Schizosaccharomyces pombe: one gene and its partner. Changing the gene in region 1 together with any one later gene gives a genetic interaction. Each region holds a gene or a part of one and is shown on either strand. Other genes may lie near its edges.

What was found. A genetic interaction does not mean that the proteins touch.
Region 2: of msy2 (region 1) and msy1, changing one enhances a phenotype caused by changing the other (phenotypic enhancement), as found in Schizosaccharomyces pombe (2 studies listed by BioGRID).

The regions. Positions count from the first base shown.
Region 1 is NC_003424.3:4,287,483-4,293,716, forward strand, and holds msy2 (MS ion channel protein 2), read right to left. Parts: upstream 4,280-6,234; 5' UTR 3,442-4,279; coding exon 919-3,441; 3' UTR 527-918; downstream 1-526. UniProt on the Schizosaccharomyces pombe protein: Regulates intracellular calcium levels and cell volume for survival in response to hypo-osmotic shock. Involved in maintaining vacuole integrity and protecting the nuclear envelope upon hypo-osmotic shock.
Region 2 is NC_003421.2:616,848-623,761, reverse strand, and holds msy1 (MS ion channel protein 1), read right to left. Parts: upstream 4,915-6,914; 5' UTR 3,739-4,914; coding exon 703-3,738; 3' UTR 540-702; downstream 1-539. Other genes in the region: transporter mug73, read left to right, coding at 1-155.

The DNA.
Region 1 (6,234 bases):
CTTTTTGAATAATTTAAGGAACTCCGCTTATGGTACACTATGTACAACTGCGCAAAGTTGCTTATTGAATACTGTCAGTTATACTAAACTACGCTATAATGTACTACGTTATGAATCACTATATGCCACATGTTCATAATGTTCTATTTGCTCTATCAGCTTTACATGATAAGTTATCAAGACATATATAATATTAGTTGTAATAAGGTGAATAACTGTCAGTTATGATTCTTGCTGTTTCAAATGGTTATAAATTGAGAACAACTGAACCTCATTCCTGAGTTCAGTTATAAGCCATATCAGTGATAGGTAACATTATAACCTAGTTAATACGATACCTATACTCAGTTGCTACTTATATTACTTGCGTATTGCAATATAATAGATCACAAGGAAAACTCACCGCAGCTTTACGTACCCTTAAAACAGATACTAAACTGCGTAGCTGACAAATACGGAGTCAAAGATTAGGAGTAAGGTGAAAGATATACGCTAATGTAGTACAACGTAATGTGCCACAGTAAAGTATTTCTTCACGGATATCAGTTGGATGAATATTAATTCGAATACCTTGTTTTAGTTATACAAATACATATATAATTGTTGTCTTTATAACTATCAAATCATTATATTTTGTTTAAGTTAAAAAAGAAATTTGTATGAATAATAGGAGAAGATTGAATGAAGAGAGTCAACAGCGTGTAACGTAAAACTGAATTTTAAACTCCATGTTCCATAAAAATATATATATATATTTCCCAGGCGGAATAAAATGTACAATCGCAGCCAAACATTCAGAAGTCCCTTAAAATTCAAGGATATTAGTACATAGTGTTTTGAAATAATATTATTTACCCATGACCGGTCGTAATCATCACAAAATAAATAAAAGTTTAAATTCCGCCATAATTCAGCAGTTTAGTACTGAATTTGGCCATCCATGTTTTGCGAATAATCAATCGCTACCTGCATGTTATCTGTATTGGCTTGTGTATTGTCAGTAGTAGCCTGTGTATTATCCACATTGTTCTGCGTAGTATTTGTCGTGGTTTGCCCATTATCAGTCGCACCTTGTGAATTAGTAGCAGTGTTGTCTCCATTAGCATTACCATTCGATTCGACAACCGTATACGTAGCATTCTCCTGAGATGATTCATTTTGAGAATCATATGCCTCGATTGCACTTATTAAATTGGGTATTTGCCAAGTAGCCACGGATTGACGAAGGTACTGGGCAGGCAGATGACCTCTATCTTCTCTCTTATGATTATCATCAGAAGAATTATCTTCATCATGCGTATGGTAATTTCTGGATTCGCTATGAGCAAAACCCGGTTTATTAGATAGTGAATTCGAACTTGCAGTAGAAGATATATCAGAAAATTGAGGACGTGAAGCAGTTTTACTATATTCCGGCCTTTCCAAATTGTACTGTTCGATAACAAAAGGGTAATCAGGGGAACCGCGTACAGGGTCCGCAACAGCCGGCAAATTCGTTGTTGCAATCGCATTTTTAAGCGCACACATAAATTTGTTACGACGCACGCACTGCAATGAAACATTTTGCCAGTTAGATTTATAATAATATGTAACGGTAAATTTCAGTGAATCTAAAGTAGAAAAATCGGATACATTAAGATCGATGATAGGGCGAAAATCTCGTTCATTCTCCTTTACAAAGGTTAATAATAAATCACGAAGTCTTTCTAGCTGTTTGAAATCTGTAGCAAAAGGTGAAACAATGGTAATCGTTTCAGACTGAGGTTGGCTTCTGCGTAAATTCTCGATAAATAAAGTGTTCAAAAGTGAATTCGGAGCTTGCACGGTTGATCCTCCCATCGTACGAAATACCGTAAATAACAAAGAAAGCGAAACAACCTCATATTTGATATTGTTAACGATAACAACATCAGATATATCGAAGGGATGTTTGCTGAAAAGAAAAATAATTGAGGACATAAGTTCTTGAGCCGAAGTACTGAACACGAATGACAAACTTAGTAAAGTAGTACCAAACGCTGCTAAAATCGTTGCAAATGAGGTATCCAAAAATGATATAAAAGTAAGAACGGCGATTATGCCAACAACGCCAAGTCCAACTCGATCGAGTTTCCCAAGAGCAAGATCGACATCTCGCAAAGAGGAGCTAATCGAACGAAATTCTATAGAAATTTCACGCGTAAATTGTTCCATTTCATCCAGGGTGACAGTACGACTATAATCATTATCGAGTATATGAAAAATGTCATTAATTTCATCATCGGGAATAAGTCCTATCAAATCCTCTTTCTGAAAGCAATCTTCTCCTTCAGGGACAAGCGAGTACCAAATTTTTCTAGCTAAGGCTAGACATTTCTTTTTTGATCTTATTGTCTCAAGAATGAACTCCTGTTCCGGTGTCAAATCTTTGGCATGCTTTCCTAGCATATCCGTAAAAGCCGTGCTAATAGCATTTCTTGTTTTTGAAAAAATCCGCTTTGCATTTTTAGATATTTTCTTAACCTTTCTTAATTTTCCATTTCCACTGCCTTTAGATTCGGACATAGATCTGGTATCAATGAGTCCAAGCAAATAATCCTGACGACGGACTCGTGGACTATCGTGATAAGGTGCATCCAAAGCAGCAGTCAGCAGTTTAGCAAGCACTGCAGTATTTCTTTTGTTATCCGTAATCCGGTACTGATATTGCACTTCATGGTAATGGAATCCGATAAAATGCAAGAAAATCTTTTCAAGGAGCAGTACAATGCTTGTAACAACGGCTGCACCAAGGATTTTAGTAATGACTTTAATCCAACTTGGAACGCTAGCTGCGGTTTTGGTGACAAATACACTCTCCACAGCATTAGAACTAGCACTAGCGGTGGGAGTGGCAGTAGCACTAGTAGTAGTGGTGACGGTTGTGGATGTAAAGTTGCCCTTACCGATCATGATGGGAGAAAAGGTACAAACACAGACAATGCTACAGAAGAATATGGCGAGCGGCATTTCGAGAGCAGTAAGTATAACGGTGTACTTGTACATAGTAAACGGTAAAATACCCATCAAAGGATATAAAATGTAAGGCAAAAGTCGTGCTATCACCCTAGAAACCCAAAAACCACCCCAAGCAACCTCTAACCATACGAAAATCCAAAAGATTCGGACGCCACCAAGCTTAGCATTAGGGTACGGTGAAACACCAACTGCTAAAGGAATAACAAGAGCTCCAGCTAATGGAAACCAAATAGTAATCCATCGAGTAATGAATGAGAGATTATTGAACCATCGGTAGAACTTTACGATAACATACATAAGTTTAAAATCTGTCCTGTTTTTTTCCAAGAGCTGTTCCGGTTCTACATTGTGGTCCAGCTCATCGACCAATTTCTCAGTATTAGTAAACGCAGAATCATCTTGGTATCCAGAACGTCGATGCGGTTCTCTTCGGTGTTCGTTCATAATACAATTAAATTATGAATTGAATAAGAAAGCAAAGCTTTCGATTGGGTATACAAAATTTGAATGAGCAGAAGATAAATATTATGCAGCGGATATAATATGATGAAGGTGATAGAAGAATGAGTAGAAAAGAACAGTTATAATTGCAAAAACGAAAATGGAGAGAGAAAAAAACAAAGAAAAGATAAAATGATATACAAGGTTTTATGTAGTAAACTTGAAAAATAACACAAATAAGTAGGTTTAAACCAAAATATCAAATGAAGGGGGAATCCAACAATTTTTTTTTTTTAAAAGAGAGAGCAAGAAAAAAAAAAGAAAAGAGATAGAAATCAGTCCTATAAATTTTTTTAAACAACAAAAGACACAGCACGGTTTGAGAAAATTGATACTCTTGCAAAAAAATAAATTAGCCAAAGGAAAACGCTACAAACGTCTTTCTTATTTGTCAGGGACCAAAAAATTAAAGCAATTGAGTCCTGAATGATATAATTGTTAGTCAGGAAGACCGGTACGCAAGGAATTGGGGTAAAACAAAAATTAAAGAATTAAGCACACACTAAGAAAAAAAGACAAACGAGAAGGAAATGAGTGTTTAATACAAGAGGGGCTAAATGAAAAAGAACGGAAAAATGAAGACGAAAAATAAGTGCTATTTGAAACTTTTTATGGATTCGTGATGCAAGTGTGTTAATGATTGATTTATTCTAGTTTTCCCACTCTATGAGAGTATCTAGGAATTGACTCATATAAAGAAACTAATCTCACTTCTTTTAATGCAAATTAGAAGAAGGAAAATGAATGATTGATTAGATTCGAGTATTTCTAGATATGTGTTGGTGGTAAATGTGAGTAGGAGCATCCTTCTTAAAGGAAAGATGTTACCTACTAAAGGTCACAATTTCTTAAGGTTGATACATCAACGTAATGGTCTTAATAGCTAATAAGATTGCAGTACACGTCTGAGTTATCGAGACGGGTAAGCGCATTACGCAATAAGAGTTACATCTCATTATCATCTATTACGTAAATTTACTTTATTCATTAAATAAAGAAAAAGAGGAACAGGAGTTTAAATATTTATGTCCTTTGCAAGCGAGGGTTTAAATGCGATTTTAATAGAATAAACATTGAAAAATGAATTATGTTCTTTTATTTTTACCTCTTGCAAATACTTTTTTAATTCAATGAAATGAATGAGTTTTTAATTGTTTTATTATGCTACCAGTTTTCATAAATGAGGTGATGAATGATTTCTTGATGACTCTTCATTAAACAAATAACATCAGTATTCACTCAAGGATAACATAAGTGAATAAATTTTACGAATTCTAGAAATTTATTTCAACGAATTGACAAGGTCCTCTTAGTCGGTGTTTGAACCCAAAGAACAAACAGTAAACAAATACATCTTTGCTTGTGGACAATGTGAAATCAGATCATTAATAATCTACATCAGAATTGATTTTTAAAAATCTTCATTTTGAACATATGTGAAATCCTGTGGCTTAAAAATTGTGTTCTTCATGTCTGTTGCTTTTTCTGTGGCTTGTGCAGGTACATCGAATAATCATGGCATGGCTTGTTGAAAAGTTGATTTGTTACTCATTTTAAAGATACATCGAGCAACTCTGTAGTGAAAATAAGTTTGAGAAGACAAGAATGTAATTAACCATTCAAGCAAATGGAATGGATTAAAAACTGAGCACGAGAAAAAACTGAATCTTTTTAAAAAGACACAAAAAGACTATTCTTTTCTTCTTCTCGGATATTTTCAATTCATTAATATTTATATAACCTTTTCTGCATTTATATTCAACATCTCGACATTCAGACTTCAGAACAGCTGTTTTAAACAAATTAGTTAAACATTTAATGCGTACTAATCGGATAGTACAAGTTAATTAGTTTTCCTACGATTGCTAATAGCAATGTAATTTGGCAATTGGTTTAGCGTTACGACAAATTACAGTGATTCTTTCTTTCAACCAATATTAATGTTATGATATGTAAAGTATTTCTATCGCAAAGGATTATAATTTCGTAAATATTATGAATGCTCCTGTACAGTATCATGATTATAGTTAATTTGCTTACACTCTTACAGTAGTGCATTAGTATAATATCAGCTGAATTAACGGTTCAACCAGACTCTCTATAGAACGATGCAAGTCAGATAAATCGTAATTTGAACGAATGTCTCATACTACAATTTCTGCTGGAAACATTAATTTTCGATGATGGCGATTCGACGACAAAATGCGAACGTTCGATAACCATCCTTTCACACCATGAAGTATTCATGGTGTGAAATTTGGCATAGATTATATGTTTGTCCAATTTTTGTTTATAGGTTCAATTAAGATTATCAATTCGATTTTGAGGTAAGCAGCACAATTGGGGTTGCCAAAATTATAACTTCAGTTGACTTCAATAGGGCATATGTGCCCCCTTCCACAATTAGAGAATCAATTAAAGTTCTATCCATCTTTCGCCCATACTAATATTTCCCTGCATAAACTAGAATAGTTTTCCGTGGTATACATAGTCGAAACCTTTAAGAGATGAATGCATGTGCTGGTAACGGGTGTAAAGCTTAAATGTTATGTCTTCGTAATTCCTTTTGCATCAGACTTCATGGTTAGATCTGATATAGTGTATATAAATCCTGTCACTAGGTACACTAGTACGGCAGAGATACAGTCGCGTATAGGAATTGATCTGATCTGAACTATTTCTGGAAAGTAGCTTAAGAACTTTGATACACACAACGCAATTGTCAACAAACCAGCA
Region 2 (6,914 bases), on another chromosome or scaffold:
CTCAATCGATACCCTTAGGGGCATGCAGTCCTGCTGATGACAAGTTTTCAATGTGTCCGGACATGGAGGCACAAAACCAAGCTGATGATTTGGCCGTTGAAACTCGCATTCAAATTTCCAATTTACCTTCTTCACCTACGAAAAATAATTGCTAATAACAGTACGCATCGTTGCAGTTATCTTTGCTTAGTTATAGAAATTTACCTTCCGTTTTTTTTTTTTTTGTTTTTTAATCATTATTTGTTTCCTGAATGTTTAAAACAAACTCGAAGTTTCGCTACGAGAATTTCGTTGGCATTCTAAAACACAAACACTTTTTCGTGAAAAATTACGATTATGAAAACGAAATAATTATTATAAAAACGAAACCTTTGAACAATTATTAACGTTCATTCGCACTTGAAACGTCTAAATTTACGACGGTGAGTCATTGTTTACGTGAAAAAAGCATTATACTAGTTTTAGTTTAAGATTATTCGTAAATCATTTGCATAACTTTTACGAAACTTTACAAGGCATAGCTAATATTAATACAAAAATTTGCTGTTGAGATACAATATACGTTTAAACATTTCATAGAATAATAAATAAAAACTAAAAAAAAGAAACAAATAGTGCCCAAAATGGTAAATAGCCACTTTCAACGAATGAAGTAAGTAAAACTAGCATGAGCGATGCAAGTTTGCAAAGTGTTATGGGTATTTAAAGTCGAGCAGACTTAGAAGTATTATTTTCGTTTGGCTCACGTAAGTCTTGAATTGATATATGCTGCAACGGAGGAACTGTACGAGCACTGGGTCTAGCCGACAAACGACTAGCTTTAGAGGAAAAGCTAAAACGAGCACCTGACGTACGCGATGCATTTTCGTTTTCTTCATTCGAACTAGATTCTTGTTGAGAACGTTCGTACTCTTCCTCTTCGGCTCGGCGACGTTCCTCAGCTTCGCGTCGCATGGCCTCTGTGCCAGCGTTTTCAATGACAGCATCGGGAAGACTATCACGACCAAGCCTTTTACTTCCAATATCAGCAACATCATCAAAAGCAGGCATCAGATGCCGTGTTCCAAGGGAAAAGTCAACACGCTTTTTAGAAACACTAGCGGTATCGGAATCTGAACTACCAGGAGGAGTAGGTTCGCGGTAAGGATATGCTTTTGGGTTCTTCAGAATTCCTCCGCCAACAGTGCTGTCGCGATGATTTTCAGTACCACCACCATCATTACCACCAGATAACTTAACACCCTCCATTGAACCATTGTTGAAGTTGACATACATAGGTGAATCCTTTGATTTACCAGGGCTGTTGAAAATAGGAGATACAATATCCAATTCCTGCATATAAGTCATCAATGCACACATAAACATATTTCTTCGACGCATACGTAAAACCTCGTCTTGAAAGTTATATTTATGAAAGAATACAACACACAAAGACATGGAATAGAGATCCGGTAAATCCGTAACTTCAGTTAGTAAGTCAGGTTTATAATCACGCTTCTCTTCTTTCAAAAAATCAATAATTTTGATTCGCAGTTGTTCAATTTGCTGAAGAGTAGTTCCAAACTTCAGGTTAACGGTGACTGGGTCAGCAATGCCATCACTACGACGCATGTTCAAAATCCAAAGGGTGTTCAGCAAACTGTTTGGAGCTTGAATGACTTTTCCAGTCAATAGACGAAACTCGGTAGACATGATGGAAATTTCCTTGACCATCGCTGAAGTGACTGTGCCATTGATCATGACATCGACACGATCGCCCACATCGTAAGGATGTTTCACAAATACGAATATAATAGAACTAAGTAATTCCTGTGCGGAGCCGGAGAACAGCCAAGACAAACCTAGCAAAGTAGTTCCAGCAGAGGTAAGTACACCGCTAAAGTTACGGGCAATCAAGTATAAGAAAATAAAAAGAGTAATGACAGCCACTATAAACATGCAAATACCATCAAGCTTAGAAATGGAATCGTTCAAGTCACGAAGTGAAGCAGAAATGCTCTTACGCTCTTTTCCAATTTCCACACATGCGAGTTCAATTTCTTCACAGGTGATATCACCATTTAGATCACGATCAAAAATAGAATAACATGCCTCTAAGGTGGCATTATCCACTTCACCAGTTTCATCGGTGTATACGGGAATAAAATCATCCAGTACTAAATCGGGATTCTCAGGATTCACCAATGCCTCAAATAAGCAACGAGCTAGAGATTGACAACCGCGTGTGGTCTTTAACAAGTGTAGCACAACACTTTTAGGAGAAGAAGATTTTTCGACCTCACGATTAGTAATCTCACCAGCCACTTTGTTAACCATATCCGTAGCGAAGTTGAATGCAGAGATAGCTTTGTAAGTGGTTTTATTCAATGCATTCTGAGCAACCCGAGCAGCTGCTGCGCGCTTCTTGCCATGTTGGTGATCAGCAAACTTAAAAACATCTGCTTGAGCACGATGGATAGCATCTTTGAAATCAAAAGAACGCTGTCGCGCATATCCATACAAACGGGCGAGTTCATTAATAGCAAACTTATTGTAAAGGATTCTAGATTCATATTCACGACGGTGAAGCGACATGGCGATCAACTGCATAAGTACTTTCTCCACCAAATTCATAATTGAGGTGATGAATAAAGTGATAAGTACATTGTTGGCGCTCTGTTGCCAAGGGAGTTTTACGCGTACATGATCAGGTACACCATAATCACCAATATGACGGCGGGTCATAATGGGAAGGAAACTGACATATACAGCTAACATCCAAAGGAACAATGTAATAGGAAACTCAAGGGCAACTGCCATGCATCTCCATTTAGTAACGTTGTTACTGATGAAGGAGACGAAGAAGGCAAAGAAATAAGGAATTACTTTGGCAGCATAGCGAGCAGCCCATATAGAGAGCCATATAATTTCCCACCAGATGGCCATCCACATCAAATCAACACCTCCAACGTGTAAATGGCGCTCATATTCATGACCTAGTTCATCACGGTAAGGAGGTTGTGGGTGATAAAAGCGACCAATGAATACTGGAATCAAGAGTAAAACCCCGAGAGGAATAATGTAAATGAGCGAACGAAGGTAAAAGCTTCGCTGTTGAATAAATTTGAATATGCGACCAAAAATAGTTACAGGATGGTCCGGAGCCTTAATAGGAGCTTCAGTACCAAACGTCACTACACCAAAGTTGTCTAAATGATTCTCAGCCTCTTGAGCGGCTTCTTCATTCTCCGCAGTACGTTCATAATCGCCCGACTTTTTAGACTTGGAGGTACGCATGGATTTAGAACGATGGGAAGAAAGGCGTCGCATAGATCCGCGAACACTTCGGCCGGTAGGACGTCTTTGCAAAGACTGAGAACCACGGACAGCCATTTCGGCATTAAAAATCTGATTTTCATCTTCCAAAGTCATGTGCGAGCGATATGAGACGACAGAAGCAATAGGCGATCGAGATCGCTCATGTTCAGGAGAGTGCGGCAACTGCCTTTGTTTGGATTCTGGGTGCAACTTTGATAGTTCCATTTCCAGGGACGAAGTATCACTAGTCCCAGTATGACCTTGATTTTCTGTAGAATGCTGGGGAGAATGCTGAGGTTGGTGAGCCTTGGCATCAGAGTTTTCGTTATCAGCTTGATCAGAATTGGGATCCTGATTAGTATACTCTGGCGGCATACCGTCTTTCGAGTTTGACCAATGATGGCGACCAGGACTAGAAGTAGGAGAAGTAGGAGAAGACATGATTAAAGGAGCGAGCGAAAACCGTAAGTATGAAGAATTTAAAAAATAAGAAACTGTCTGAAAAGGTTTAAATGAAAAAGGGAAAAGAAAAACAGACAAGGATGAATTGATTTGAGTTACCAGGAATAGGGAATATGATGAAAGGAATGAGAAGAAACTATCGTCCAGAGGAAAAGAAAAAATACACAAGAGGGAATAAATAGAAAACTTGACCAAACGTCAATAAAATGCAGAAATCCAAGGATGAGTAATGATTAAACACAAGTACAAGGAAGGAACTAAAAATGAGAGGAAAAACAAAAAAGTCGATAACTTGGGTACCTAAAAAAAAAAGAGATTCTAAATGTTTAAAATAGATAGCTTGGAATGGGGATGTGGTTGACAAATGAGGTCAAATAATCAATCGTGAGATAAACAATTTAACTCTAAGGAAAAAATTTTTGAAAGTAAAACCGCAAAAAGACCCCAACAACAAAGAACTGTAAAAAATACTTTTATTTTTTATTGCTTGGACAAATTTAGTATAAGATTAACAATGGCAACAGATGAAACAGAACTAATGAAACAACCTATCAACCATTCAGTATGCAACCAACAGTGTGTATAAGACAAGATGAGTAAAGATTGTAGAAAGAGAATGTTTGAAAAAGATCAAGTTGTTTAAATGTAAAATTGTTAGCACAAGAAGCAAAACGCCGCAAACCGGTCTTTAGAGTTGAGTTTAGATATAGAAAAAAATATAAAAGGAAAAAAAAAGCGTTGAAAAGTACTACAAAGAAATTTCACAAAGAGTACTGAAAACAAGCTGAAAAGTGATGATTATCTTTTATTGAAGCCGCGATTCCAATTCACTCAACAAAACCGAAAAAAATCAACAACGACCGGGAAAAGACAAAAAAATAAAAAGGAATGAGAGTCGAACGTTTTAGATGTTTAAAGTTGGAATGAAATGCGAGATATAAACAAATAAACCGTACTGAATATCACAAATAAAGCGCCAAGAACACAGAGCTAAGAATGTGAAGAAAGTACAATTTTTTTCTTCACCAGTAGAGGTTTAAGAGAAAAAGAAAATCTCAAAACTAGGGGGGAGAATTTCGATATATCTTTCTACTGGTGAAATAGGACAAGAATTGGTGGTTGAATGTATAAAAATTCAACACGTTGGTTATCTGCAGGTGGCTCAAAATAGATGTAGCTTTCTTATATATTGGACAGCATTATGATGTCATTGCACGCAAAGATGGGAAAGGGAGAAGCAGGAAAAATTTGCAATTCAGGAAAAGCGAATCACAAGCGAGCTCATTAAAGTAGCAATTGCGTAGGATCGTCGGAGACACATAGGGTACAGTAACGCAGCCGAGTGTGTAGAAAAAGGAAAGAGAAGGAGGGAGGGAGGGAAGGATGGTAAAGAGGATAAGATAAAACAAAAAAAAAGATGAAACCAAAAAAATAAGTAATATGAATGCTAAAGCTATCTCATCTAGAAGGGTCAAAAAATGAGCTTTTCTAATGAAGTGGGTCTATTATCGGAGACTTGCACATCATCCAAGATGACTTCCCATGACTTGCCTCGCAACGATATCTGCTCTTGTTATTTGCATCCTGTGTGTTAGCTCCAGCATTTTCTCTTCTCTTTTGCTTTATCGCCGAGCTATGAGTAGCGAATAACTCTATTCCTAATCTGGTTACGGCGATCTTGCCATGTCCAACGACCCGGATCCAAAAGTAACAATAAATAGATGAAAATGATGGACAAGTGGTACCCAAGAAATATGCTTATTCCATTAAATTATGCTTATACCTAGTTTTCTTGAGGATTCGTTTCTCCAGTGGTTTGCCTTTTCACTTTTTCTTATAGCAAGTCAACAGCATTTCTACTGTGTTTTGACCGGTTTTAACAGATCCGGTGGAAGGGTTTGGTGGTTTATGAAATCACATCAAAGTACACAGCGACGAGCGATCCATCGGTTTCACAATTTTCCTGGTTAGGGTTAAAGCGGAAAGGGAAGGGAAGGGACGAGATGATGGAGCAGAGTAATATGACGGGCGGCGAAGGACGACGTAAATTGAGATATGGATACAGATGTAGACGTAGACGTAGACTTAGAAAGGTTGTAAAAATAATCCGAGCTTGATGCAATGCTAGGGAAAAGAGGAACGCAGCATAGAGTTGAGACTAGTGCAGACAAGTATAAAGTGTGAAAGGGAATGGACGATGGAAGTATGGACTGGACCATAGGCAGCTTGCAATGTTTGTAGTTAACATTTCGAGTAAGAACAAGAAAATTGTCGAATTATCTAATCTACTTGGAAACTGAAATTTGAATTTTTTAATCAAAGCGGATTGCAAAACTGCAACATTGTTTATTGAAATTTTTCTCTACCCAATTTCGCCTGTAATCCAGGCCGTACACAGAGGTTGATAAACTTTCGAACTCATTACTATAGCGATAATGAGAGTGATTTTCGAATCCTTGCTTACTACACAGTAAACTTCACTATTTGGTAAACAATGTCTTAAGATGACTGAGCTGGATAGAAGAACAGAATGAGAGAAGTGAAGAGGAATAAAATGATTTACAAAAATCACTATTTTGAAAGTAAGGAAAATTTAATTCCTGCAAAAACCTGATCTGGTCAAATTGAACATCATTATAACCGTAATTCCGTGCCAGCAAGTTTTTGGCTTTCATTCCTTTTAGATGCGCGAAAATGATCGATGATATCAATTTCATTTTCTTCCTAAAATAGTTGAAAATGTCCTCATCCTACAAGTAGAGGAATTAATGCAAAAGATCATAGTGCCTGTCGTTATGCGCAGGTTCGCATTGAGTAGACGCGACGTCTTATTTCACTGTCGGATAAGGATGTATTGGTTTTAATCACAATACGTATTATTACGCCGTGCACTATATAATAAACATTGAAAAAAGTTGTATAAATTAAAAATAAACCAAAAAAAGGCACGAATCGATTCGTTTAAAATTACTATCCAAGGTTTCTAATTCCAATAGATGTTTTTGGTGATCAGTCTAAGAACTGCTGTTTTCAACACTGCAAAAGTTTATAATTATAAATTGTATTTAAACCCTTTGTAGTGATAGGAAAATGCACTATACCGTACAAAGTTGACAAGCAAAGCAGCAAACATATTTCTTAGAGACAGGGCGCGC